Danio rerio: one gene and its partners. The protein of the gene in region 1 purifies or fractionates together with the protein of each later gene. This does not show direct contact. Links are inferred from orthologs where the notes say so. Each region holds a gene or a part of one and is shown in the gene's direction. Other genes may lie near its edges. The genes, in order: pcna, top1a, cdk4, xrcc1, igf1ra, pola1 and dclre1a.

The links.
Region 2: the proteins of pcna (region 1) and top1a purify together in Homo sapiens (affinity purification with western blotting; 3 studies listed by BioGRID and IntAct, with this or other methods). This does not show direct contact. The link is inferred for Danio rerio from reciprocal best matches to the Homo sapiens genes PCNA and TOP1.
Region 3: the proteins of pcna (region 1) and cdk4 purify together in Homo sapiens (affinity purification with western blotting; 5 studies listed by BioGRID and IntAct, with this or other methods). This does not show direct contact. The link is inferred for Danio rerio from reciprocal best matches to the Homo sapiens genes PCNA and CDK4.
Region 4: the proteins of pcna (region 1) and xrcc1 purify together in Homo sapiens (affinity purification with western blotting; 3 studies listed by BioGRID, with this or other methods). This does not show direct contact. The link is inferred for Danio rerio from reciprocal best matches to the Homo sapiens genes PCNA and XRCC1.
Region 5: the proteins of pcna (region 1) and igf1ra purify together in Homo sapiens (affinity purification with western blotting; 3 studies listed by BioGRID, with this or other methods). This does not show direct contact. The link is inferred for Danio rerio from reciprocal best matches to the Homo sapiens genes PCNA and IGF1R.
Region 6: the proteins of pcna (region 1) and pola1 fractionate together in Homo sapiens (co-fractionation; 3 studies listed by BioGRID). This does not show direct contact. The link is inferred for Danio rerio from reciprocal best matches to the Homo sapiens genes PCNA and POLA1.
Region 7: the proteins of pcna (region 1) and dclre1a purify together in Homo sapiens (affinity purification with western blotting; 3 studies listed by BioGRID and IntAct, with this or other methods). This does not show direct contact. The link is inferred for Danio rerio from reciprocal best matches to the Homo sapiens genes PCNA and DCLRE1A.

What each region holds. Positions count from the first base shown.
Region 1 is NC_133185.1:46,058,752-46,062,700, reverse strand, and holds the start of pcna (proliferating cell nuclear antigen), read left to right. Parts: upstream 1-1,149; 5' UTR 1,150-1,411; coding exon 1,412-1,632; exon of another isoform or gene 1,633-1,685; coding exon of another isoform or gene 1,686-1,717; exon of another isoform or gene 1,718-1,907; intron 1,908-2,111; coding exon 2,112-2,209; intron 2,210-2,631; coding exon 2,632-2,699; intron 2,700-3,206; coding exon 3,207-3,401; intron 3,402-3,949. Other genes in the region: E3 ubiquitin-protein ligase TRIM69, read right to left, coding at 1,686-1,717. UniProt on the Homo sapiens protein: Auxiliary protein of DNA polymerase delta and epsilon, is involved in the control of eukaryotic DNA replication by increasing the polymerase's processibility during elongation of the leading strand.
Region 2 is NC_133186.1:27,371,600-27,375,099, forward strand, and holds part of top1a (DNA topoisomerase I, like), read left to right. Parts: intron 1-1,329; coding exon 1,330-1,426; intron 1,427-1,665; coding exon 1,666-1,786; intron 1,787-1,946; coding exon 1,947-1,993; intron 1,994-2,811; coding exon 2,812-2,901; intron 2,902-3,110; coding exon 3,111-3,192; intron 3,193-3,276; coding exon 3,277-3,374; intron 3,375-3,500. UniProt on the Homo sapiens protein: Releases the supercoiling and torsional tension of DNA introduced during the DNA replication and transcription by transiently cleaving and rejoining one strand of the DNA duplex.
Region 3 is NC_133186.1:160,555-164,433, reverse strand, and holds the end of cdk4 (cyclin-dependent kinase 4), read left to right. Parts: intron 1-651; coding exon 652-869; intron 870-1,141; coding exon 1,142-1,277; intron 1,278-2,112; coding exon 2,113-2,280; intron 2,281-2,453; coding exon 2,454-2,563; intron 2,564-2,714; coding exon 2,715-2,765; intron 2,766-2,847; coding exon 2,848-2,983; intron 2,984-3,172; coding exon 3,173-3,247; 3' UTR 3,248-3,379; downstream 3,380-3,879.
Region 4 is NC_133191.1:58,607,718-58,611,217, forward strand, and holds part of xrcc1 (DNA repair protein XRCC1), read left to right. Parts: intron 1-176; coding exon 177-300; intron 301-1,382; coding exon 1,383-1,474; intron 1,475-3,291; coding exon 3,292-3,439; intron 3,440-3,500. UniProt on the Homo sapiens protein: Scaffold protein involved in DNA single-strand break repair by mediating the assembly of DNA break repair protein complexes. Negatively regulates ADP-ribosyltransferase activity of PARP1 during base-excision repair in order to prevent excessive PARP1 activity.
Region 5 is NC_133193.1:22,286,746-22,290,245, reverse strand, and holds part of igf1ra (insulin-like growth factor 1a receptor), read left to right. Parts: coding exon 1-19; intron 20-213; coding exon 214-356; intron 357-461; coding exon 462-627; intron 628-2,479; coding exon 2,480-2,582; intron 2,583-2,676; coding exon 2,677-2,747; intron 2,748-3,145; coding exon 3,146-3,375; intron 3,376-3,500. UniProt on the Homo sapiens protein: Receptor tyrosine kinase which mediates actions of insulin-like growth factor 1 (IGF1). Binds IGF1 with high affinity and IGF2 and insulin (INS) with a lower affinity. The activated IGF1R is involved in cell growth and survival control.
Region 6 is NC_133199.1:27,759,874-27,764,137, forward strand, and holds the start of pola1 (DNA polymerase alpha catalytic subunit), read left to right. Parts: upstream 1-1,464; 5' UTR 1,465-1,595; coding exon 1,596-1,644; intron 1,645-2,366; coding exon 2,367-2,491; intron 2,492-2,558; coding exon 2,559-2,655; intron 2,656-3,556; coding exon 3,557-3,631; intron 3,632-3,756; coding exon 3,757-3,872; intron 3,873-4,079; coding exon 4,080-4,142; intron 4,143-4,264. Other genes in the region: rrs1 (ribosome biogenesis regulatory protein homolog), read right to left, coding at 1-282. UniProt on the Homo sapiens protein: Catalytic subunit of the DNA polymerase alpha complex (also known as the alpha DNA polymerase-primase complex) which plays an essential role in the initiation of DNA synthesis.
Region 7 is NC_133187.1:32,310,308-32,313,082, forward strand, and holds the end of dclre1a (DNA cross-link repair 1A protein), read left to right. Parts: intron 1-1,753; coding exon 1,754-1,965; 3' UTR 1,966-2,275; downstream 2,276-2,775. UniProt on the Homo sapiens protein: May be required for DNA interstrand cross-link repair. Also required for checkpoint mediated cell cycle arrest in early prophase in response to mitotic spindle poisons.

The sequences.
Region 1 (3,949 bases):
TATATATATATATATATATATATATATATATATATATATATATATATATATGCTCAAGTATCCCCAACTGTATCCCTTCTTTTGTTTGTGTAACACATATATGTATGTATGTATGTATGTATATATATATATATATATATATATATATATATATATATATATATACATACATAAATGTGTTACACAAACAAAAGAAGGGATACAGTTGTGGGATACTTGATCATGCGCACATCAACATAGCATGATTTTTGTGACACAACAGTATTTTACGTTACTGTGATGGGTCGATTTAGGATTTGGGTAAGGTAGACGTTATTAAAAAGCATTATAATGGGTATTCATAAATATTATAAGTAGTTATTGTTAACTGAAGACCGCAGCTATATCCTTTAGCAACAAAACATGTGTTACACAAAAAGTTGCGGATACTTGGGCATGCGCACATCAACATCAATCGTTGGTACACTGCACAACAATAATTAATATTTTACGTTACTGTGACTTGTCGATTTAGGGTTTGGTTAGGGGTATACGTTATTAAAACGCACTGTAATGGGTATTTATAATTTTTATAAATAATTCTCGTTAACTGCTGACCGTAGCTGTATCCCTTCTAGCAACAGCACAGTAATTTGTCACAGAAACAAAAAAGGGATACAGGTGCGTATACTTGGGCATGCGCACATCAACATAGTCTGATCTTTGGTAAACTGCACAACAATAATTAATAATTTACGTTACTGTGACTGGTCAATTTAGGGTTTGGTTAGGGGGTATACGTTATTAAAACGCACTGTAATGGGTATTTATAAATTTTATAAATAATTCTCGTTAACTGCCGACCGTAGCTGTATCCCTTCTAGCAACAGCACAGTAATTTGTCAAAGAAACAAAAAAAGGGATACAGTTGTGGATACTTGGGCATGCGCACGTTGACATAGCATCATTTTTCACACTGTACGACAATATATAATATTTTACACCACAGTGACGGGTCAGTTTAGGGTTTGGGTGGGGGTAAAGGTTATTAAAACGCACTGTAATGGGTATTCATAAATGTTGTGAATAACTCATACCTTCTGACCAAATTGCGCCCTCTTTTGGTCAGTGTCCGCAGTTCTGTCTGCGTTCCAGGAGGAGTCAAACGTCAGCGGAAATGACGAAGGCAACAGTGGGTCAGTTTAACAAAATCCCGGCGAAAGCGCGCGCAGTTACATTCAGAGCCTCGCCAGAACAGTGGACAGCACATCTGCACCGTGCCTCCTCTGCATTAGTACCTGCTAAACTCTAGGATAGTTTAGGATTCTGCTTTCCTGTGCTGGAAAACAAGCAGTTAACCAGGCCGCAGCTTGTGTCGTAACAGGATTAGATAACTTTAGTTCCTCCTACTCTAAACTAAGAAAGCAGCACAATGTTTGAGGCACGTCTGGTTCAGGGATCTATCCTTAAGAAGGTCCTGGAGGCTCTGAAAGACCTGATCACCGAGGCTTGCTGGGATGTGAGCTCGTCGGGCATTTCTCTGCAGAGTATGGACTCCTCTCATGTGTCTCTGGTGCAGCTGACGCTCCGGAGTGACGGGTTCGACTCCTACCGCTGCGACAGAAACCTAGCCATGGGGGTCAATCTGAGCAGGTAAAATCACTGACTAAATCAAGCGCCTTTTGTGTTATTTGACTCGTATTTACTTGGTGAGTGAAGTTTGAACATGTCTGCGCATGCCCGGGGCTGCGCCTCTACACAGCAGCGCGCCATTTTTAGACTATAAAGTGACAAAAGTATTTTATTTACAGTAGTTGTTATTAAAGTATGCCGTTTTACGGTTGTGTTTTAAATAGGCTATCAGTTTAATTTGGCGCGCAGTTTCCTGCATTCGTCCCACGCTCTACTGATCGTGACGTCACTTGCGCGCGCTTAAGCTTGTTGGCGGGAAAGAAAATGCCGGGTTGCTGAATGACAACATGGCTCTGGTGTTAGACAAAGAAAACCTGCTTAGACACTTTTTGTGTATGCCATGACTGTTTCGAATGTAAATGGTAAACCATTTTACGATCAATATGGTGTTTTTCTACCTGAAGTGAACGTGTTTTGATTATTATTCATCTGTTTCCTAGCATGTCGAAGATTCTGAAGTGTGCTGGAAATGAAGACATCATCACACTCAGAGCTGAAGACAATGCTGACGCCTTGGCACTGGTCTTTGAAACGCTCAGTAAGTTAACTTCTTTTTAAACTAGGAATAGCAATACTTTTGATAGTGTACAATTAAAAAAAACTTTTTTTTATTATGAATTTATTTTATGTTGCTAAATTTATATTTGCAGTATTTTAATATCGATTTATCAGCAATACCTGTTAAAAACATGGGCTTTGGTTTAAAATGAATCATTAAAGTTAAGCTAAATAATTAATACTTAATATTTAAAAATAATTTTCTAATAATAATTTTCTCCAAAAATGTAAGAATGAAATTCGCATAGATACTGGAGCCATTTTGTGGTTAATAACATCACATAAAAAAAATGCTTCTAGTATGGATTTTCTTCACCATGTTATCAACTATTACTATGAAACCAAAAGTTAAGTTTTGCTGGAGAGCTAATAATCCATACTAATATTTACATCTCATTTCAGATCAAGAGAAAGTGTCCGACTATGAGATGAAACTGATGGATCTGGATGTGGAGCAGCTTGGCATTCCAGTAAGACTTTATTATAACAGGGTGTCTGCAGGGTCATTAAAAGTTGATAAATCAATTTGGTATTAAACAGCCTTAACTGTTGTTTTACAAGATATAATTGTTTTGGTCATTTTATGATTATATAATGTGTAGTTGTGTGCTAAAGTTTGCCTAAATTTAATCTGTGTGGTTTATGAAATTGATAAAATCCTGCTAGATTTGGCATCACACTGCTTTGTCTACTGCAGTAATAAAGGCAAGCCTATGTTTCCTGCTGTTCTATAGGTGCCATCTGTTGGGATTAGCATTTTTATTCAGTACATGACCGATTTAGTTTAGGATTCGTTTCTTACAATCAGTATTTAGTAAATATACTACAAGTTGAATTGTCACCAATGTTAAGTTAAAACCTAAAATGGCGATGAGGTCTTAAAGTTTATTGAGTTTCCCTCTCTTGATTCCTGTTTATTTCTGATATGATCGTGGATGTTTGTCTGCAATGATCATGCTTTATTCTCTTCCCCTCAGGAGCAGGAATACAGTTGTGTGGTGAAGATGCCGTCGGGTGAGTTTGCCCGCATCTGCAGGGATCTGTCACAGATTGGTGATGCTGTCATGATCTCGTGTGCCAAGGATGGCGTGAAGTTCTCTGCCAGCGGAGAGCTGGGCACAGGCAACATCAAGCTCTCACAGACCAGCAACGTCGACAAGGAGGATGAAGCGGTAACATACTATTCATTTAAGGCTGCACGATACTGGGAAAAATATGCAATATATATTCTATAATCAAACATTTCTCTGAAAAAGTCAATTTAATTAGCTGTTTTAAAAAAATTATTTCATGATTTTGCAATAAACAAGTAAAATATATTTTCCAGATCTAATTCAGACTTAAAACTGTCAAGATGCAAACCTTTAGTCTTTAAAGCACTATTAGTGAGAATCATTTTTTAGCTCTGATTTCACCTTTAAGCCAATCCAGCCAATAGCAGAACAGCAACTACTTAGGAGGCGGGGCTAAAGGTAGTAAAGGCCCCATCTGATTGATCAGATTTATATAATAAGCAGCTTTATTTTCATTTAGCACCTTTAAAAGTAGCATCTCGGGGCACTTTACAGACATAATGTGCAGCTGTTAAAGATGCATACAGGATGAATGCAAAAAAAATGCAATGAATATAATCAAACGCTTACAATAATAATAAATCTAAAAAGCTACCCTAAAAGAGTAGGTTATAAGTGATTTAATAATTATCTGGGATTTTATCAGA
Region 2 (3,500 bases), on another chromosome or scaffold:
AATAACACATCCCATCAGTCCTGTTCAAGGGCTGTTTTTACATTAGGTTTGCATGTACTTTGAAGTAATTTTAGGATGAAGGATTAATTTTGTGTTCATTTGTTTCATTTACCCAGCTTTTACCTTTTAATTATTTTTTTGTTAGACGGCTTATATCAGTTATATTGGCTCAAGCTTCATTACTTGTTCATTTTTTATTTTTATGCATTTCCAGCATGTAAGTTCTGCTGACAATGAACTTGTCCACTAGAGGGTACAGTTCACAAATAAGTTGTCCCACAGTCCCAGATGTGCATGTGTTTTGCTGAAGGGCAAAACGAACATGGTGAATGATTGGAGCAGAGTGAATTTTTATTGTTTTATAAATAAGGGGAGAAGGTTGCACCACAATTATTGATTACTGCACACCTGAATATGAGTTTAAGAATACACATCTAGATGGGTTGTGGGGTTTGGAAGTGCGCTCATGCGTACTGTGGAAGATAAAGGATTTGATTTCATGTCCTAACTGAGCACTCTGTCCCTCTTAATGCTTGAATGCATCTTACTGTAACTTGAGGTTCATTGTTTCTGTGCTCTTAAAGGATGACATTTGAGTTTGCTTGGATTCCAAACTCTCGTACAACTCTCATTCCTCCTTTTAGTTTTCGTAAAATAAAGGGAGATCATTTTGCTTTTGCCTTTTGGGAGGCCTGTTATAAAACACCTCCAGCTTTTTCACTGTCCGCTACAGTGTCAGTAGGATCTGCGTGGCCCTCTTGTAACCCAATCCAGCCCACCAACCTACACATTTCCTAAAGCAATAGTCCTCTCAGAGTAAACAGTCTTAGCTGGACCCTGTGCAGAAAGGGGCCCTTTATAAACACCATACATAGCTGAGAGTGAAAACTGGACATTTCACCTCAAGAGGTAAAGTGCCAAAATCTACAAGGTGTGACCAATGTGTCTGCAGTGGGTCGAGCAAGGACAACCCTAAATGTGTCATGCTGTACTTATTTCAAACCAGTTGTCTGTAAATGGTCTTCAGCGTTTGGCAGGCTCACACAGGTTTCTCTGAAATGCGTTTCTCATTCAGGTGTGTGCAAAATCTGCTGGTGTAGCTTTCTATAAGGGCTATTGCTTGTTTTTGATTAATTTATGCTCACCTAAAGCACTAAACTATTTCAGTGTACGGGTACATCTTTCTGAATCAAATCATTTGTATGCTGTCTAACTCCAGATTTACAACACTTTTGAATTCGTTTTTCCTGTTTCAGGGTCATACTTTTGTTACCAGGTGTTCATTCCTTTTTGAATGTGCTACTTAATTTTTAATTTCTTTGTTGGCAGATTCTCACAAACACAAAGATAAATACAAGGACAAAGAACACAAACACAAGGACCACAAGAAAGACAAAGAACGTGAGAAATCAAAGTACAGCAACAGGTATGACGTCTCCTACTTTGTCCTACAGCAGATATATAGGCAGTTTATAGCCCAGTTTGCTCTTTATGGAGTGTGTTTGATAAGCAGGGTGTGGCCTTTAGGGTTCAGACCACAGGAAGGAATGTTGGCTTTACTGCAACTTCCTTTGTAAACACTATCATCTATTTGGAGCCGATTTTGTTGATGGACCAAGCCATTGTGGCAATTAGATCACGGCATGTTTTATTGCATTTTGGCAGCGAACACAGGGACTCCTCGGAAAAAAAGCACAGAGATAAAGATAAAGAGAGGCAGAAGCTCAAAGATGGATCTTCAGACAAGCAGAAGGACAAACACAAAGAGAAGAGAAAGGAGGAAAGGGTGGGCAGAATCCTCGGTTACTTTCACATTGCAGCGGTTTTATCTGAGCTCAATCCTCTGGCTCTGGAGGAGTTGTAAATAGTCTTTTGTGATTCACACAATATTGAGTGCTGTTATTGACCTTTTTCTGTTTTTTTTGTTCTCCATTTCCTTCCTCAAGTCTTCTGATGACAGGCCTAAAAAAGAGAAACAGAATGGATTCGCAAGGTGAGCGTGAGCCCTTAATGTGACTGAAAATGATGCAACTGTAAGTTGAGTTTCACTATAATAAGAGACCCCTTAAATGGGTCATAACTTAAGTTAGGTAAACAGTCGACCCAAAACACAAGCCACTCAAATGTCAAAAGCAATGGTTGTCCTAACAGTGAGAATGACTCCTCTTCAAGTGCTTCCATGTCTTTGATTTTTTTTTTAATTGACATTTATAGCAGGGAAAAATGGATGATTTTAAAAACGTATTGTTTTGCTTTGTGTTCCGATGTCAGCCATGATGAAGCTATTTCAGTTGATGGATGTATGTTAACATAACCATTTCATTTTCGGTACATTGTGGTCCTTTAGCAATTTGTTGAAATTGTCAGGTTCATAACACATCCTCACAAAATATGAAAATCCCAGTGTATTTATGTTTGGCCAGTAGTTTAACATGTTGTAGAACAAATATTCTGCTACTGTTGTTATGATTCACATAATGAGCATGTCTTTTTGTATACTTTTCTAAATGCTTGTGGTTTAACACCACCCAAAATCTTGAAGTCATGTAAAAGAGCAACAGTGTTACAACAAAAAAATCTTTAAATGTTGCGGAAATCACCCTTATGCTGAAGGGTTTGGAGAATTACTGTATGTTTTCATTCTTAAGAGAAATCAAAGTGTTTCTTTATGATAAGATCCCTTTTAGGATCCACAGAATGGATGTAATCGCATAAATAGAAACATGAATTTATCTTGAGCCAATTTAAAAGGCTTCTCTTATTTGGTCATGTGAGTGAGAAAATGAATAATGGTTTTCATCCTTCACACAGCCCTCACATTAAATCTGAACCTGACAGCGATGACTTCTATCACTCTCCTAAACTAGAGAAGTCTCTGAAGAGAGAGCGGGATGATGACGAGTAAGTGACATTGTGTTTGCAGGACATCTTGAACTCACTTGTGACATTAAAACAAACTTGCAATCCTCTGTAGTCACGAAAGCTCCCTGTTCCTCTAATCTTTGTTTAAAATGGTAACCATTAGAGTGAATGAGACAGTGATTGTCTGGTATTTGAACGGTGTGTGTGTGGTTGCAAGGCATTTTGACATTTTGTTTTGTTTCATTCAGTGGTGATTACAAGCCCAAGAAAATTAAAACTGAGGATGACAGAAGTGAAAAGAAAGCAAAGAAACGGAAACAGGAGGAAGAGGTAAACTAATGAAGTTACTGGCTTATCTCTTTAGATTACACTTTCCAAGGTGTCAGTAATTTTGAATCTTTTGATTTGCCATAGGACATAAAGCCCAAAAAGAAAACAAAAGACAAGAAAGGAGAAGTTGCCACAGATGGCAAGAAAAAGGCAAAAAAGGAGCCAGAAGAGAAGTGGAAATGGTTAGTCTCACATCCTCTGATGGTCAAGTAATTGTAGGCTGACTCCTTGTCTTGAGTCTGTTTTGATTTTATTCGGGGATATGGTGCTGATCACAAATGTCCTTTTTCCGGCACTTTGCAGATCCA
Region 3 (3,879 bases), on another chromosome or scaffold:
GTCAATTTTTGACATTTTAGGAAGTTTTTTGTGGGGAAATGTTGTAATGGTGCAGCGCTGGGCAGCAGAAATGCAGTGTTGCTTGCTTTACTGTGTGTGTGTGTGTGTGTGTGTGTGTGTGTGTGTACAGTTTATTTAGATCAATGACAGCCTACATGTCTGTATGTCACACTAATGATCATCAGAGAAGTCTTATATTAAGAAAGAGGAGAATCAAAGTGTGCGTATTAACACACACACACACACACACACACACACACACACACACACACACACACACAGAGTGTGTTCGAGGTTGTTCTGGCTCTAGTGATGGTGATGTGCTTTCAGGCTCTGGGTTTGTGTGTTTGTGGCCTGTTTACACAACCAGCAGCGCCACACAACTGAGCTGTTGAGTAAATGTGGAGAAACTGGTGTGTGTGTGTGTGTGTGTGTGTGCAGGTTTGTCTTAATACAGCTAAAACTGATGTTTCTGTCTTACAGCAGAGTCACACACACATACTGACAGCAGTGTGTGCACATGTACAGGTGTGTGTGTGTGTGTGTACAGGTGTGTGAGCGTGTGTATGTTTGTGCAGGTAATGATGCCTGCAGAGGAACTTGTGTGCGCGTGCATCAGGTGATGGCACAGTAATGTGTGTGTGTTTGCAGATGGCGCAGGAGGTGGGGCTGCAGTATGAGCCAGTAGCAGAGATCGGGGGCGGGGCTTACGGGACCGTCTATAAGGCTCGGGATCGGGACAGCGGGCAGTTTGTGGCGCTGAAGAGCGTTCGGGTGCAGACCAATCAGGACGGACTCCCACTGTCCACGGTTCGAGAGGTGGCTCTGCTGAAGCGCCTGGAGCAGTTCGACCATCCCAACATCGTCAGGTACACACACACAGTTACATACACACACACAATCACTGATACACACAATTACTCATGGGCACACACACACACACACACACACACACACACACACACACTGATCTCCTTCAGAACTGTAGTAGTTCTGCAACTGTTTGTTTGAGGTTCTTGTTTTGCTGAAAGATCTCGTAATCTGTGTGTCGCGTCCTCTGTGCGTGATGACGGGGTGTGTGTGTCTATGATCAGGCATTTTGTAAGTGTGTAATCTGTGTGTGTGTGTGTGTGTGTTTCAGGCTGATGGACGTGTGCGCGACCCTCAGGACGGATCAGGAGACTAAAGTGACGCTGGTGTTTGAACATGTGGATCAGGATCTCAGGACATACCTGGAGAAAGTTCCAGCACCGGGACTGCCTGTGGACAAAATCAGAGTAAGACACACACACACACACACACACACACACACACACACACATGAATATTTATTGTTTGACCAATAGTTCAGTTATATTGTGGGTTAATTGGTCAGAGCGGGGTCTTCTCAGCTGAGCGCATGCCATGTATAAAGTAAGCTGTGTCAGTGTAAGCGGGGCCTGAGTGTGTGTTGTTTGCGAGCGGGTTTGTGAGTATGTGTTGTTTGCGAGCGGGTTTGCGATGGGGGCGGGGCGGGGTGGAGGATTGGCGATGCCGGCTCAGCATCGTGTTGTCTATCGGCCATCGGTGATGAATGATGGCATCATCTGTATAAACGTGGTTGAGCTCAAGCGCATCAGATGAACAACCAATGAGAAGAAGAGGGCGGGGCATGCCAGACAGGAGAGAGCGTGTGATTGGTCAGGATATTTGATGAGAAACTGCTGTATGAAGTGATGTGCTTGATCCATTTAGGCGGACGAGACAAACTGCAGACGTTCTATCTGCTCAATGTGAATGTCGTCTCTGTTTCTGGATATTATAGATATCAGCACGACTAACACACTGATGCTCACATTATTTCAATATCACAGGGCCTTCATAATCCTTTATAAAGCATTACAGCATGCTTTAATTGTATTTATTAGACAGCTGTCTGGAGGGCTGATTGGTCATTTCTGACACTTCAACAGTGTGTTATTCCCTGATAACACCTGCTGAATAACATGGAGAGAGAGAGAGTGTGTGTGTGTGTTCTGCAGGTCCTGATGCAGCAGTTGTTGTGTTGTCTTGCGTTCCTGTAATGTGTGTGTGTGTGCGTGTGTGTGTGTGCGTGTGTGTGTGTGTGTGTAGGACCTGATGCAGCAGCTGCTGTGTGGTCTGGCGTTCCTGCACACTAATCGAGTTCTCCATCGGGATCTGAAGCCGGAGAACATCCTGGTGACCAGCAGAGGGCAGGTGAAGCTGGCGGACTTCGGGCTGGCGCGCATCTACAGCTGCCACATGGCACTGACCCCGGTGGTGAGACACTCACACACACACACACACACACACACACACACACACACACACACACACACACACACACACACAGAGACACACAATGTCCTGTGAACACACTGCTGACACACAAATACTGATGTGTATGTGTGTGTGTGTGTGTGTGTGTGTGTGTGTGTGTGTGTGTGTGTCAGGTGGTGACGCTGTGGTATCGCTCTCCTGAGGTGCTCCTGCAGAGCACATACGCCACACCAGTGGACATCTGGAGCACCGGCTGCATCTTTGCCGAGATGTTCAGACGCAAGTGAGTCTCAGCAGAGTGTGTGTGTGTGTGTGTGTGCGTGCGTGCGTGCGTGCGTGCGTGCGCGTGTGTGTCAGCGGCTGCAGATCTGCTGCTGTATGTCCTCTGGTTTGTGAGCTTGAGTTGATGATTCTGTCCTGATTCTCCTCTTCAGGCCTCTGTTCTGCGGAGATTCAGAGGCGGACCAGCTGGGGAAGATCTTTGCGTATGTCAAACACACACACACACACACACACATTCACACAGAGAGATGAGGTGTGTTATTGACGGATCAGTGTGTCCCTCAGGGTGATCGGTCTGCCGGCGGAGGATCAGTGGCCCACAGACGTCACTCTTTCCCACCACAACTTCAGCCCTCAGAGCCCTCGGCCAATCACAGACTGCGTTCCGGACATCACAGAGAAAGGGGCGGAGCTATTGCTGGTACGTTTACACACACACCGACAGATAACCCTGAGCACAACACACACAGCTCAGACGCAGGGCGCTGTAGGAGAGAGTGATGCTGCATCGGTCACCTGGATCTGCTGACCGCTCGTGTTCAGCAGGAGATGCTAAACGCATGAGTGATGTGAGAGACGCGCTGACAGCTCTGTGTTCTTGTGTTGACAGAAAATGCTGACCTTCGACCCGCTGAAGAGGATCTCTGCGCTGAACGCTCTGGATCATCCCTTCTTCAGCGAGTGATGCTGCTCTACACACACACACACACACACACACACACACACACACAAGCCAGCAGACTGAAGATAAACATTCCCTGAGTGTGTGTGTGTGTGTGTTCATCTGCTCTGTGATGAAGAGGAGCTTAAATCAGGGGTGTCAAAGTCAGTTCCTGGAGGGCCGCAGCTCTGCTCAGTTTAGTTTTCCCCTAATTAAACACAGCTGATCACACTAATTGAGTCCTTCTGGCTTGTTTGAAAGCTCCAGGTGAGTGTGTTGGAGCAGGGCTGGAGCTGAACTGTGCAGGGCTGCGGCCCTCCAGGAACTGAGTTTGACTCCGCTGGCTTAAAGGGTCAGTTCACCCACAAATCAACATCTACTGGCGCTTATCTCTCCCTCAGGGGGTCTGAAACCTGTTGGAGCTTCTCTCTTCTGTTCAACATGAAAGAAGATATTTGGAAAAATGTTGTAATTATTGACATCTAAAGTAGGAGAAACAAATAGTATATAAGTCAATGGTTGCTGGTGTTCAACATTTTTCTAAATATCTTCTTAATGTTTAACAGAAGATGGGTTAAAGACCCCGTGAGGGAGAGATAACCCTAAGTAGATGTCGATTTGTGGGTGAACTGACCCTTCAGTGCTCGTTCTCCATC
Region 4 (3,500 bases), on another chromosome or scaffold:
CTTCGCCTTTTCCTCCCCCGCTTTTCACTTTGCGTGCGTGCAACACCCCCCCCACCCCCCGTTCTTCACTTTGAAAGCACCCTTAATGTTTACAGGCGTTTAATCTTACAATTTATAACATACTCCAAATGAATGGGTGACATTAAACATCTGTCTGCTCTCTCCCTCCCTCACAGAAGCTGACCAAGCTGGGTCAATTCCGAGTTAAAGACGAGTCTCCTTCTGCTGGGTCAAACGTGCAGCCTGGAGCTCTGTTCTTCAGCAGGGACACTTCAGCTAAATCCAGCACTGGACTGAAGGGTAAAGCACCGTAGTACTGTACACTTATCGTAGTAGGGAGGTATCCATTATTAATATCAATTCTAATATTAATGTTGCACAGGTATATTTATGTGCAAAAAAAGCATAATATGTGCATAATCTCAAACGGGTGCTCAGGCCCCCAGGAGAAGAGAGTACAATACATCAAAAATAAAGGCAGCAACACCAAAGCTTCAAAATTATTAGACCATCATTGCTCCTCTCGCGATCTGTTCTCTGTCTCCTTCACTCTCGTCGCCATGATTTCCGTGTTCTTTTAATTCATTTTGGGGGATCACGGAGCCGGTATGAATTTGCAGAAGACATGCAGAGCTTCCAGGAGAGGTCATAACTAGATAGTGGAGATGGCTCCGTTCGCATCACAGCATGGGATGTGTACGATGTATCTGAAGAGTAGGAGTGGATGGGGGATGTATTTGAGGACAGGGTGGGATTTCTGGGAGATTATCATTCGTTTGTGGGCATCCGGGAGATATATTTATTTATTTATTTATTTAAAAAATTTTTTAAAATCATTTTGTGGCTAAAAGGTATCAGTTCAGGCACCGTTTTGGCACCGGTACCGTTTTAAAAGTATCGATTTTAGCACCGGTATCGAAAAAAAACCCAAACGATACCCAACCCTAGTGAACACTGCTGAAATACTGCAAACTGATGAGGGAAAACCCAAACATTGACAGAGTGTGATGAAGGTGAGTTTGTTTCTTCATGCTAAACACAGTTGAGGTTTAACATTACATTTTTTACATTATTTATTTTAGAAGTTTAGTGAAGGCGGGGCATTTCTGACCCAAAGGGTGAACATTTTATACAGAATTATAGACAACAAGAGGGTTTAGTAAAAATCTGGTCAAAATCAAAAAGTTGCAGTTGTCTTTTAATTGTTTTTAATTCTGTGCCTGAAAACAGCATGGTTTGTTAACTGTAGTTTTTCAGTAAGGCATTAAAACATGAATCATAATTACCTTTATATGGCATTACACAAAAAAGGTTCAAGTTTTCAAATGAGTTGAAATGCTGCAGTAAATAATATAATGGTCTTACATGATTGTTTTCTGCAGTTTCTCCTCCGAATGAGAGGTTGAGTTACGCCGCTGCTGCGCTGAAGACTGAGGGTTCGTCCACACACACACCTGCCAGCGACACACAGCAGGTACTGCATTTGTATTGTACAGGGTCTCAGCGGGGTCTTAAGTCTTTAAAAATCGAAATTTTAGGCCTTAAAGTCTTAAATTTGCTGTTGTAGGTCTTAAATATTTCTGCACAGGTCTTATTTTTCCAATGTCCATGTAAGGCTACATCTAATGCTCATTTAAACTCTTTTGTTGTTGTTGCTTGGTGTTGTAGTTCTTTATTTCACTAGTCCAAATGTAATATGCGGTATTACAACTACAAATGAGACCAACATGCAACAGCCAATCAGCTTACTGTTATTGAACTCAATGTGACGTCATCGCAGAGTATGCAGAGGTTCGCTTTGGGTGAATAATTTTGAGACTCGATTGTTTGCGCAGCGCCGCGTTTCATTTGAGTTGAATATGAAAGACTTTGAAGAGATTTTGTCTGAAACGGGTACGACTGTACAGACACCTTTATGATCCGTCCACGCGTGATTATAGGGAGAACCAGATGATCAATAATTCTTAGCTAGAAAAAAGTTTGGAAAAACCTGAGGGATGAGTTTGTTAAAGCCAAAATAGGTCATGGCAAAAGTGACCCAGATACACGATTACAGAATATGCTTCTCCACCATTCATAGGTTTTACACTGATATATATATTACAGTTTTGAATTTAAAACAGTTTAATAGTTGCAAAACTATAAATAAGGAACAAATTATTTCTTTGATATTTGGAAAGAAAGATTTGAACCTGTCAGTTTACATTATACTGAGGGCCTGTTTTTCTAGGCTTTATTGTTGATGATGGTCAGGAATGTTGGACCATTATTGCCTTTTTAGCTTATAAGCAGAGGACAGAAACTAGCCAGACAGTAATGTGTGAACTGTTGGGCTAAATAAAATTGAAGTTTTTAGTAAGTGTATTTTTCTTTGCTTTTGTTCTTTCCATAATAAAAAATTTTATAGTAACATTTTACTCCCTTATTAAATTAGAGCCACTCTTTGCTGTGCATAAATCATCTCTCAGCTCACAGACGCTCCTGTGCTGAAGCGGCAGATATTCTGTGTTCGTCTGCGTGGATTATTGACCTTTTACAGCATTACATCTTCTATAATTGAAGCTAAAGAAACTGAATCTCAGCACAATCAGAGATGAAGACGCTGGACCTGATGTAAGATTGAGGATATTCAGGCATTCCTCTGATCAGACGTGAAATTATTAAACCTTTATTATTTCAAGAACAATTTTTATTTTCAAACATTGTAATACAGGTTAAGACAACACTTTTATTTTAACTAAATAATTCATTCATTCATTTTCCTTCGGCTTAGTCCTTTTATTCATCAGGGGTCGCCACAGCGGAATGAACTGCCAACTATACCAGCATATGTTTTACACAGCAGATGCGCTTCTAGCTGCAAGCCAGTACTGAGAAACACCCATACACACTCATTCACACACACACACACACACACACACACACGGCCAATTTAGTTGATCAATTCCCCTATAGCACATGTGTTTGGACTGTGGGGGAAATGGGAGCACCTGGAGGAAACCCACACCAACACGGGGAGAACATGCAAACGCCAAATGTGACCCAGCCGGGACTCGAACCAGCGACCTTCTTGCTGTGAGGCCACAGTGCTAACCACTGAGCCAAAATGCTGCCCAAACTAAATCTCTTATTGAACGTGGCTTTTAATGCTTGATTGCATCTGCACTATTGTCGTGTATACTTTTATATTATTCCTCTTGTTGTTTTATTGTTCTTGTTTTATTGTACGGTGTCCTTGAGTTGCCAGTAAGGTGCCTTTTAAATAAAAGGTATTATTACTATTTCTCACAGGCTCCCGTGAAGCGAAAGTTTGAGTTCAGTAAAGAGCGTCTGGAAGCTTCCGGTCCACCAGCCAAGAAGCCCAGTTCATCTGCATCTGCCGAAACCACACCGAAAGCCAAAGCAAGATCCAGCATGGGCACCAGTCCCAGCAGCAGAGGTACAAATGAAGTGCTATCAAATACTTTAACATTATTAAATTCGTTATTTTATACAGTTGA
Region 5 (3,500 bases), on another chromosome or scaffold:
TCCAGAACCAAACCGGCAGGTCAGCAAAAACCAACAAACCAAATCACTGCATATTCAGGCCAGTGAAATATTAATATCCACTGTGCCTACAGCATGATTTTTGGATTAGTTTTCCTGTTCATGTTAGCGGCAATTAAGCCTGAATGCAATCTAAACCTTATTGAATTACTATAAGAAAGCACTGGCCTTGAGCATACTTATGTTCTTCTACAGATAAAGCGGATGATATTCCCGGCTCTGTGACTCAGGAGAGGGATGAGAAGGGAGAAGGAATAGTGCTTCTGCGGTGGCCTGAACCTCTTCACCCCAACGGACTGATCCTCATGTATGAGATCAAATATCGTCTGGGAACTGAGGTTAGTGTGACAACTAACTCGTACACCATTAAGAAATAGTTATAACCAAAGCCAAAGCCACAAACCAACTGACTGAGGATGTATGTCTGCGTGTGTGTGTTTCAGGCTGAGAAGCATGAATGTGTATCACGACAGCAGTACAAAGTTCTGCGAGGAGCTCAGCTTAGCAATTTGGCCTCTGGAAATTATTCAGCTCGAGTCAGAGCCACTTCTCTGGCTGGAAACGGGTCTTGGACTGAACCAGTGTCCTTCTACGTGCCACCCCCTAAACGTAAGAAATGCACCCATAGGCCTACTTGTAGGATAAGTGTTTGTCAAGAAAATAATAACGATAGTTGTAGGGCTGCACAATGTATCGTTTCAGCATCAATATTGTAATGTGCACATTCGCAATAGTCACATCGCATGATATGCATTGTTCATTCTGAATTATTAGAAATATAAGCTACGGAATCGTAGTTAATTACTGTATTTATACAGGATTTATGCAAAAACGGAAACAAAAATGTTTTTCTTACTTACAATTACAATTACAAAAGTCTTGTTTCTAGTGTAAATATTTACATCCCAAATCAAAAAAAACTTTTTTTTTTACCCCACTGGCAGATAAGTTTACTTGTTTTAAAAAAAAAAAACTCTTAATTTTGACTTGTTTCTTCTGAAATTGAAAATAATAATAAATAATAATAAATAATACAATACAATACAATAATACAATAATATTTAACTTTTTAAAAGATTTTTTTGTGATTTGGACTAGAAACAAGACTAAGCACCGTAAGAAATGCATTTTTTTTTTTTGCTTTGTAGATTATACAGTTAATGTACCTGAGTACTGTTAAACTCCACAGAAATAGTGTTCAAATGGTGCTATTCAAACTATCTTGTGAAACTGTATTCATATCGCAATATTTATCGCAGAAAAATAAAGTATCCCAATATCAGCTTTTTCTAATATCGTGCAGCCTCCGATAGCCTAGTGGTCAAAATTTGTATTTTCTATTGGATTCAAGTCAGGTGATTGGCTGGGCCATTCTACAGCTTGATTTTCTTTCTCTAAGACTATTTGGGAGTTTCCTTGGCTATGCTTTGGATCATTGTCTTGCTGAAATGTCCACCCTGGTTTCATCTTTATCATCCTGATAATGCAGTTGTTGGACTGAATCAGCTAATATTAATTTACAATGACGAAAGGTCATCAGTAATTTACAATGACAGAGGGTGGCTGAATAACTACTGAGAGATTTCAGCTGCTGTCTGGTCTTTCACTGCCTTTCTTCAGCTCCTTTTCTTCATGTGTTTAATGCTTTTTATTTATATATTTTTTAACTTGTCGGCGCAAAAGCCTATTGGTTAGTGCGCTGGCATATGGTGCAGTAGCACGTCAGGGCGTCCTGAGTTTGAATCCTGGTTCGTGGACATTTCCCTACCCCCCCTCTCTCTCTCCAACTTTGCTTCCTGTCTCAATACTGTTCCATCTAATAAAGGCAAAAAGGCCAAAAAAATTACACATAACTTAATTTGTAAACTAATAAGACTTTTTTCTTTTGTATATATGGATGTCTTTGGTAGTTTCTAACATCCAAATTTCAAGTCAGTGGCACTTTTAGAAGAAAATGGTGATGTTATCAATACTTATTTTCCCCGCTATATTTAAAATTATATTATATATATATATATATATATATATATATATATATATATATATATATATATATATATATATATATATATATATATAATTATTATTATTTTATTTTTTTAACTCTTTGTTAAGAACAAGGGCTGGCAAAAGATTTTACGTTTACACAATAAAAGTTTTTATACATCATATAGTTACCATTATAAAATATAGTAGTCTAAAAGATTAGTTTAAATGAACAGTTGGCTTTCTGGTTTCACTCAGAAGCAAAAATCTACCCACAAATTTCAAAGAAAGAGATATTTGACATTTATTGTGATAATAATCAATATTGACTGATATGGGGAAAATGTAAAGTTGTTTTGACCATATCGTCTAGCCCTAAGAAAATGCTTACTGATGACTCTCTTTAAAGGAATGCTTGTGATGCAAGGCATTCAGTCTAATGTTTTGTTTATCTTTCTGTCCTTCTCTCTTACAGGGAATTATGATAATGCCTTCTACGTGGCCATCATTATCCCTGTTATAGTACTACTTTTGCTACTCTTCGTGATCGTAGCTGTCATCATTGTGACCAAAAAGAGGTTGATGTCCCAGCTATTAAATACGAGACTTCTTTTTTTACTTCCACTGTCTAGTACTGTTTTTTATTGTGTTTTTATGCATGCTTCTTTTCAGGAATAGTGACAGGATAGGAAATGGTGTGCTGTATGCTTCTGTGAACCCCGAGTACTTCAGTCCATTTGAAAGTGAGTATTAGGTTTATAAACCAGGTTGTGTTGCATTTCAAATAACTTTCTTAACTAAGAGTATTTTAGCTGTTTTTAATCCAAACTAATACAAAGACAGTGCCTGATTTCCTGTTTTAAACATAATTATAACTTCATTTATAACTGTAAATGATCAATAATAATTATTAAAAACTAATACCTTGTTGTTTATATTGACTTTGATGCTTTTACTGACAGACAAAACTTATACATATGATCATTAGGAAAATGATTAAGTAATCCCTATTGCTGGAATTATATAGCTATAAAGATTTATCTAATATTCTTCAGTCATTAAATCGTCATGATTGGCAGAATATGTTATAGGATCTTCTATATATATTACAATTTTGCCGATTCTGTTTCTGCCACCTCAGTGTATGTGCCAGATGAATGGGAAGTGGCTCGAGAGAAGATCACCATGTGCCGTGAGCTGGGCCAGGGCTCTTTTGGTATGGTGTATGAGGGCATTGCAAAGGGTGTCGTTAAAGATGAACCTGAGACCAGAGTGGCTATCAAGACTGTAAACGAATCCGCCAGCGTACGTGAACGCATCGAGTTCCTGAACGAAGCTTCAGTTATGAAGGAGTTCAACTGTCACCATGTGGTAAGAAACGGCGGAATCTCACCATACAGTTGATTTTGAAATGTTAAATAGGTTTATTTAGTTATAGGTATACGATTCTGACGATATGATAACCTTGGATAAAATTATCACAGTTTTCACGATAT
Region 6 (4,264 bases), on another chromosome or scaffold:
TTCTGGCAGCTTGGCGACGATCACTTCGTCGACTCTCTCTGTGGGTAGTTTCCATATCTCGTTGATGAGAAGTTGTGTGTTGTCTCGCGCTAAAGAGCGAAGACAGTCCTCCCGTTTGTTGCCTTTAAAGTCCCGTGTGTCAAGTCGGTTCTTGTCAAACGCCAGCAAAAGTCCCGGGTCGAATTCAAGATCCAACTCTTTGAGCACCGTAATACTTTTGAGCTTCTCAGCCTCGTCTCTTTCAGCTTTAGCGAGCACGTCTTCAATACTGCACGAAGCCATTTTGGTTCTACTGACAGACAACGTGGGTTCCCACATGTGCCGCTAAAAGCGGAAGTCTGGTATTTCAAAATAAAAGAACTAAAAACTAACTTAAAAAATAAAATAAACATTTCAAATGAGTTAAAGAAATATAACAATCTTTAAACATGTTTTAGCTAGTAAAACGTTTATCCTAAGTGTATATGTTTATGATACTAACTAACTTACTTCGGACGAAAGTTGTTCGGTCGAATGCAGGAGTAGCGATAAACCGACAGGACGTCCCATCGGCTCTGTGGCGCAATGGATAGCGCATTGGACTTCTAGATTGTTGAATGGGGTCATTCAAAGGTTGTGGGTTCGAGTCCCACCAGAGTCGACATTTTTGTGATCAGAATCAATAAAGTGGCCACATGCCAGAAGTTACCTGAAGTGCTCGAAGACATGATTCAAACGAACCTGACTCAGTGATTCAGTTTGTGGATGCGTGAATCTTATAGCCGAACCGAACCGGTGGGTTAAGCATACGGAGCAAATGGTTCGTTTTGATAAAATATTAAATTTATTTAGATATATATCGGTTCTGTGGATGTGTAACCTGGGACAAATGATTGGTTTCTAAATGCCAGTAAAACCTATAAGTGAAACCCATAGTTGTGGTAGAAATATTGATTTATTTATTTTGTTGCAGTTATACACACGCACGGTTGTATTTGTTTTATCATCGACCACTACAAATATCTAAAAATAATTAATTATCCTTAATAATACTTAAATTGTGTTTTTGGTATGATTTTAAAACTGATTTTTTGGATCTGTTTGGATTATATTATTACTGAACAAGTGATACTGAACTGATAATATGATTTCTGAACTGATGCCAATGTTATTCTTGAAAATTCTAACAGAAAAAATCTGGAAATTGCCTCTGCATACAGTATGCAAACAAAAACAAACTTGTTATTATTATTATTATTATAATTATTATTATTATTATTATTATTATTAGTAGTAGTAGTAGTAGTAGTAGTAGTAGTAGTAGTAGTAGTATTTGCATTACTGTTCAGTTACGCAAACAAAATGATCTTTAATTGTAAAATAACAAAAAACTCAAGTCTCCGATATAAAAAAATGAATGTGCTAAAAAATACACTGAATAAAGTCTGTCTACAACAGTTCGAATCAACTTGTTCAGATTGGTCGGCTGGTGAGAACGTCATATCCGCTGCTCGAGTTTCCCCGGGAAGACACTTTGGCGCGGAAATCTGTTGTTTTGGCTTCGCCCTTTGTAAGGAGAGAGAAATTCTACCTCGACTCAACCGCATTTTATATCAATGGCTCCTGTTTCAAATCCCGATAAAGACATGGACGGCGGAGATTGTGGTGAGCGTGTTTACAGGGATTAGTGTTGTTAGCTAACACAATATTCCAGCTTTCAGCTTAGCGGATGCATGTAGTGTACTGACAGCGCTAATGCAACATGAAATACAATACATTACATTGATTTATCTGAGCTAACTTAATCGTTAAAATATGCAAATACATTACCGTGTATCATCATTTTGTCGAGTAAACGTGATGTTTCGGTCCTTAAACATGAAGTTTGAAGCTGAACATGTCAGTATTAAGGCTGACAAATGTTTCTCAGTTCTCAGCTAGCGTTAACGTTACTCTTTCCTGGATAATACTTTAGTGCTTCTTTGGAAGACGTTTATGTAACATCCCAGCGGATGCCCAGCACTGGAAAAAGAAAATTAATAAATCATAAACAATAATAATGTAATATACAGTGACATAATAACACTACTACTACTTACTGCACTACTAACACTACTACTACAATATAATAATTATACAATTAAAAATATTCTTATTGCCACAGATGAAAATATCCTTTATAATGAAACAATATTGAAAAAATATGATATAATTATAAATATTCTAGTCACTTAAATGGTCTTTTTAACAAAGAAGTTAGCAAAATTTCACTGAATCACATTTGTGGATTTATATATATATATATATATATATATATATATATATATATATATATATATATATATATATTTTTTTTTTTTTTATGCCACATTTGTTTATGCCTTTAGATGCATCCGACACATGTGGCATTGCCGCCTCACGTTCCAGAAGGGAGAAAAAAGAGAAAGTCGGGCGCAAGTCTGCTTTAGAGCAACTTAAAAGAGCCAAGAAAGGAGAGAAAGTAAAATACGAGGTGAGATTCAGCTGTTTGTACATTTCATCTCTGCTGTTTCAGCGCTTTGACATTGTGTTGTGATCAGGTGGAGGAGTTCACCAGCATTTATGATGAAGTGGATGAAGAGCAGTACTCGAAAATAGTTCGGGAGAGACAGGATGATGATTGGATCATTGATGACGGTCAGTCATATTTTCATACTTCAATCTCCAATATGCAAATTTCAGTGTTTAATTGGTTGTCAGATTAATGTGCCTGTAAAATGCTGGGTTCTACACAATTCATGTCTTCATGTGTCCCAACACAAATCGTAGGGGTGTCAAAAGTAAATAAAACGCTCCTACTACTTATCCTACTTGATAATTATGAACAATTCAACTGCTTGTGAGTTTGTTGGAAAGTCTTTCATTGACACTAAAGAAGGCACAGCACACAAGCCACTATTTCACTACTTTTCACTACTCTCTTCTAAAGCCAATCGCCACCTTTTCTGTTGAGTGGGCGAAGACAACAACCAATCATATGGGTTTAAGACCTCGCTTGACAGTGCTCAAAAAGCAAGCGGGATAATATTTACATTTAGTTTATTTGCAATAAATGCTCATGCTGTTTTCTGTGCATGTGTTTGAGTTTTGTTTGATACATTCAAAAAGAGTGTTTTCCTTGAGCGGGTAAAATAATAGTTACTGTACATATATCTTACTGCTTGTTTTAAAGGACACATATGTATTACAAATAATCTAAATATAAATATATTTATAGATTTTAATGAAAAAAAAAATCTTGTGTTGTGAAGAAAAACTCTAATTCTGTATGGAAGGCATCGTCAATGCATTGTGATGCACAGAGATATCGAATTGAACCCTATCGATGGCATGATAAACATAACCAAACCATGAGACCAGTATAGATTCACACCCCTAACAAATCAAATTTAACATAATGGATTTTATAAATTTAAGATGATTTAACATTGAAAGTTGTCTTTAAAAAAACTCAAGAATTGAGTTGATTCAGCTCATTTTAAATAAGTAATTTAAACAAGCAGCAAAAATCATTTTTTAAGTGTGTGTCTTTTATCAGATGGGACAGGTTATGTGGAGGATGGCAGAGAAATCTTTGATGAAGAATTGGATGATGATGCATTGGGCCCTAAAAGTGAGTGTGGGAAAACCAGCACCTTTTATTTAAATTTTGTCAATTTGCAATATTAACCAGTGTGTTTGTGTTTTATTTAAAGTTGTCTTTACCAATTAATTATAACTTTATTTATATGTGAGCAGGTAAACAGGCTGCAAAAGGAGGTGATTCGAAAAAGAATGTGAAGAAATCATCTGTCAGTAAACCCAACAGCATTAAAAGCATGTTTATGAACAGTAATGTAAAGAAACCTGCGGAGGTAAGAGCTTTTTTAATTCACAAGATGCTTCTGTTTGTAACTGGCCATTATATTAACTTTTTTTTGGTGTGATTTTATAAAATTAAAGATTGGTTAAACCAAAAAGGAAACTTGTCAATGTTTGTAATAAAAACCCAAGTAAGGCAAGTAAGGTAATGCTTGACTAGTGTGTAAACAGAATTTTGTTTACCCATGTTTGCATTGTAGAAACATGTGGATTTGTCTCAAGATGATCTGCTGGGAGATATTTTGCAGGACTTGCACTCTGAGGTGAATCATTGTGACATTTTGTAATAAATGGATGTCTTTCTGCTTTTAATACAAGCATGCTACAGGTGCTTTCAATGTTGTTATTCATAACTTATTTTACACCTCATATTCATTTGAATGTT
Region 7 (2,775 bases), on another chromosome or scaffold:
ACATGAGCAGGCTCTGTTTGTTACTATTGTGTTACTTTTCCACTTTTTCCATTACATTAAAATGATTGCTTACAAAATGCAAGAACTGCACTGTTATATTGAAAATAATTAATTTTGTTTCCAAAAGTGCAAGTTATTTATTTTCACTTTTTTATGAGAAAAAAACAGACAATATGTGTTTTAATTTCAGTTGTTCAACGTTGATGTTCAGTAAATAATCATAGATAGTAGATAGTGTGTGTCTCCTTCAATTATTTTTAAAATCAAGTAATGCACCCTTCATTGAAAAGTCTCTCACTTGTAATAAGTGAGCATATTCACTGTACAAAACTTGTCTGTGAACTCTGAGGGCAAAAAAATAAATAAATGAATAAAATAATCGTTCATTAATCGTAATCGAGTTAAAATATTCAATTAATGGAGATTTAGATTTTAGGTGAAATCACCCAGTTCTACTTAGATGTTAACATGCAAGGCTTTTGGTAAAACCAGTTAAGAGTTCAAGCGTAGGGCTATATTTATATGTAATAATTTGAGAAAATTGGGTCACTTCACTTTGAAACTGAAATTGCAACTCGAAACAAACCCTAATCAAGGGAAGTGCATGTACATCAAATTGTGTTGTTTTGGTAATACTGTTTTTATGCATTCAAATGCTGTCCGTTTTATCTGGTATATTTAGGAGCCCTGGGCATAATGAGTGCATATTTTTGTCATTTCAAATCAAAAAGAAAACAAGACATTTTTTTGAAAAAACATATAAAAAACACCTCATCATTTTGCGCCTTTTTGGCATCTATTATGGCCGGTTTGATGTGGTTTTATAAGGTTGTCCATTTTGCGTAATGCTCAGCCTACAGCAATAAAACAAAAATGCAGAAAACACGTATTTTATTGATATCTGTCACGCCTTCCCTTCCTGAATAAGATCTTAAAGAGGATTGCTTTCCATTAAACTGATTTTGGGTGTAGAGACAACACAGCCTTGTCATTCTGTTCCACTAACTGACAAGATTATAGCTAATGGATTCGTATGAGGAATGTAATTACATTTTATTGATTTTTTTTTTCCTGCTGTTGTTAGAAATGCTGAATGTCATTTCAGGCTAAGAACATCATGTTCTTATATTAACAGAGTCAGCAGATGTGATTTGACCCAGTGAAAAACTCAAGATGTCAGGTTTTGCAAGCCCAGGGTTTTAATTTCAGAATATCAGCGGTCTGCAGCCGTACCAGGTGCTGCCTCAAGCAGTAGATGCGTCTCATTTCACAAACTCCACTGGAATCTGAGACGTCCAGCATGGGTTTTCGTGGGAATTTGTGCTTGTTAGGCCTTTACACAAATATACCATATAATTGCAAAATAATGGACTGCTTAAACAGCAGTTTCATAAATTATTAGTTTCGTCCTACAGTGTATGACATACCACAGTATATGCACTTACAGTATATACACTTATACACTGTGTGTAGTTTAGTGTTATTTTTTACTAAACAGAAATTCAAACTGCCTCCCAGGCGATGTTTAATCATGGCTAAATTAGTCAAATCAGAATCTGATAGATCAGTTGAAAAGTGCATTTATTTCAGTGTGAATGCACTATTTTGCATCATTATGTAGTATAAATAGTGTAAGCATGCTTATTGTTGGTCCGTATTTGATTGTGGCAGAGTAATTTTTGTATAAATAGCTTTTTCTGAGCATCTCCAAGAGTTTGAGAGCCATTGCCTACTCTATAATTATCTATTTCAGGTATTCCTTACAGCGAGCACAGCAGTTTTCTGGAGCTGAAACGATTTGTTCAGTGGCTACGGCCGAAAAAGATCATCCCCACGGTGAATGTGGGCAGCTGGAGGAGCAGGAAAGCCATGGAGGGCTTCTTCCATGAGTGGATGACTGAACCCAGAAACCTCAGCTCAACACCTTGCACCCTCAGAAGCTCAAGCTGTGGAACAAGGCAATAAGTAAACTGACAACAACAATGAAATCTACTGACCACAGTTAATGGTGCCTTTTATTGATTGGACTTGTTCTATTCAGTGGACCAAATGTTGGTTTTGGCATCTGCCTTATATTTGAAAACAAAATGACTTCTAATCTGCCTTTTAAGTGCAATGCTATAAAGGTTAAAGGTGTTGACTTTTACTATTGTGTTTTTCTTCTTGCCAGTATAGCTAATGCTGAAATGGACCACATACTGTATGCTCTCTTTTAGAGCATTTTTTTTTAAATCTGATGGTTTTATACGTGATTAATAACATAAATATAAATAAATCAATTAAACTTATTTCAAATGCTACTAATAACTCTGCTTTTCGTATATTGGAATGTTGCTGTTATTTTTTATGGTTTTGCATTTTTTATGTTTATTATACATCCAGATCAACATTTTTCCAGTAAAGTCTTTAAAATATAGTGTTTCAGGATTAGATTTAGATTTTTTTTTTCAATATCTGAATCTCAAAATGAAAAAAAAAAAATCAAACACATTTGGATAGTGTATCAACATGACAGATTTCAAAGCAATAGCAATTATACTGCTGGGGTTCTGTGGGTTGTAAGAAGTGTTATTCACCCTTCCACAATTTAAAACCATAGAAATGTGCTTAATCAGAGCAGAAGGCATAAATTCTTAGGGACTGATTGATGATTTAAATGTTGCTAGCACTGCAAAAAAATTATATATTTTTCTCTCTATTTTTTTATTCAATTTTATATTAGAAATTTTAGAGATTCGTTAGATTTCATTAGAGATCCAAAATGAAGAATTTAAG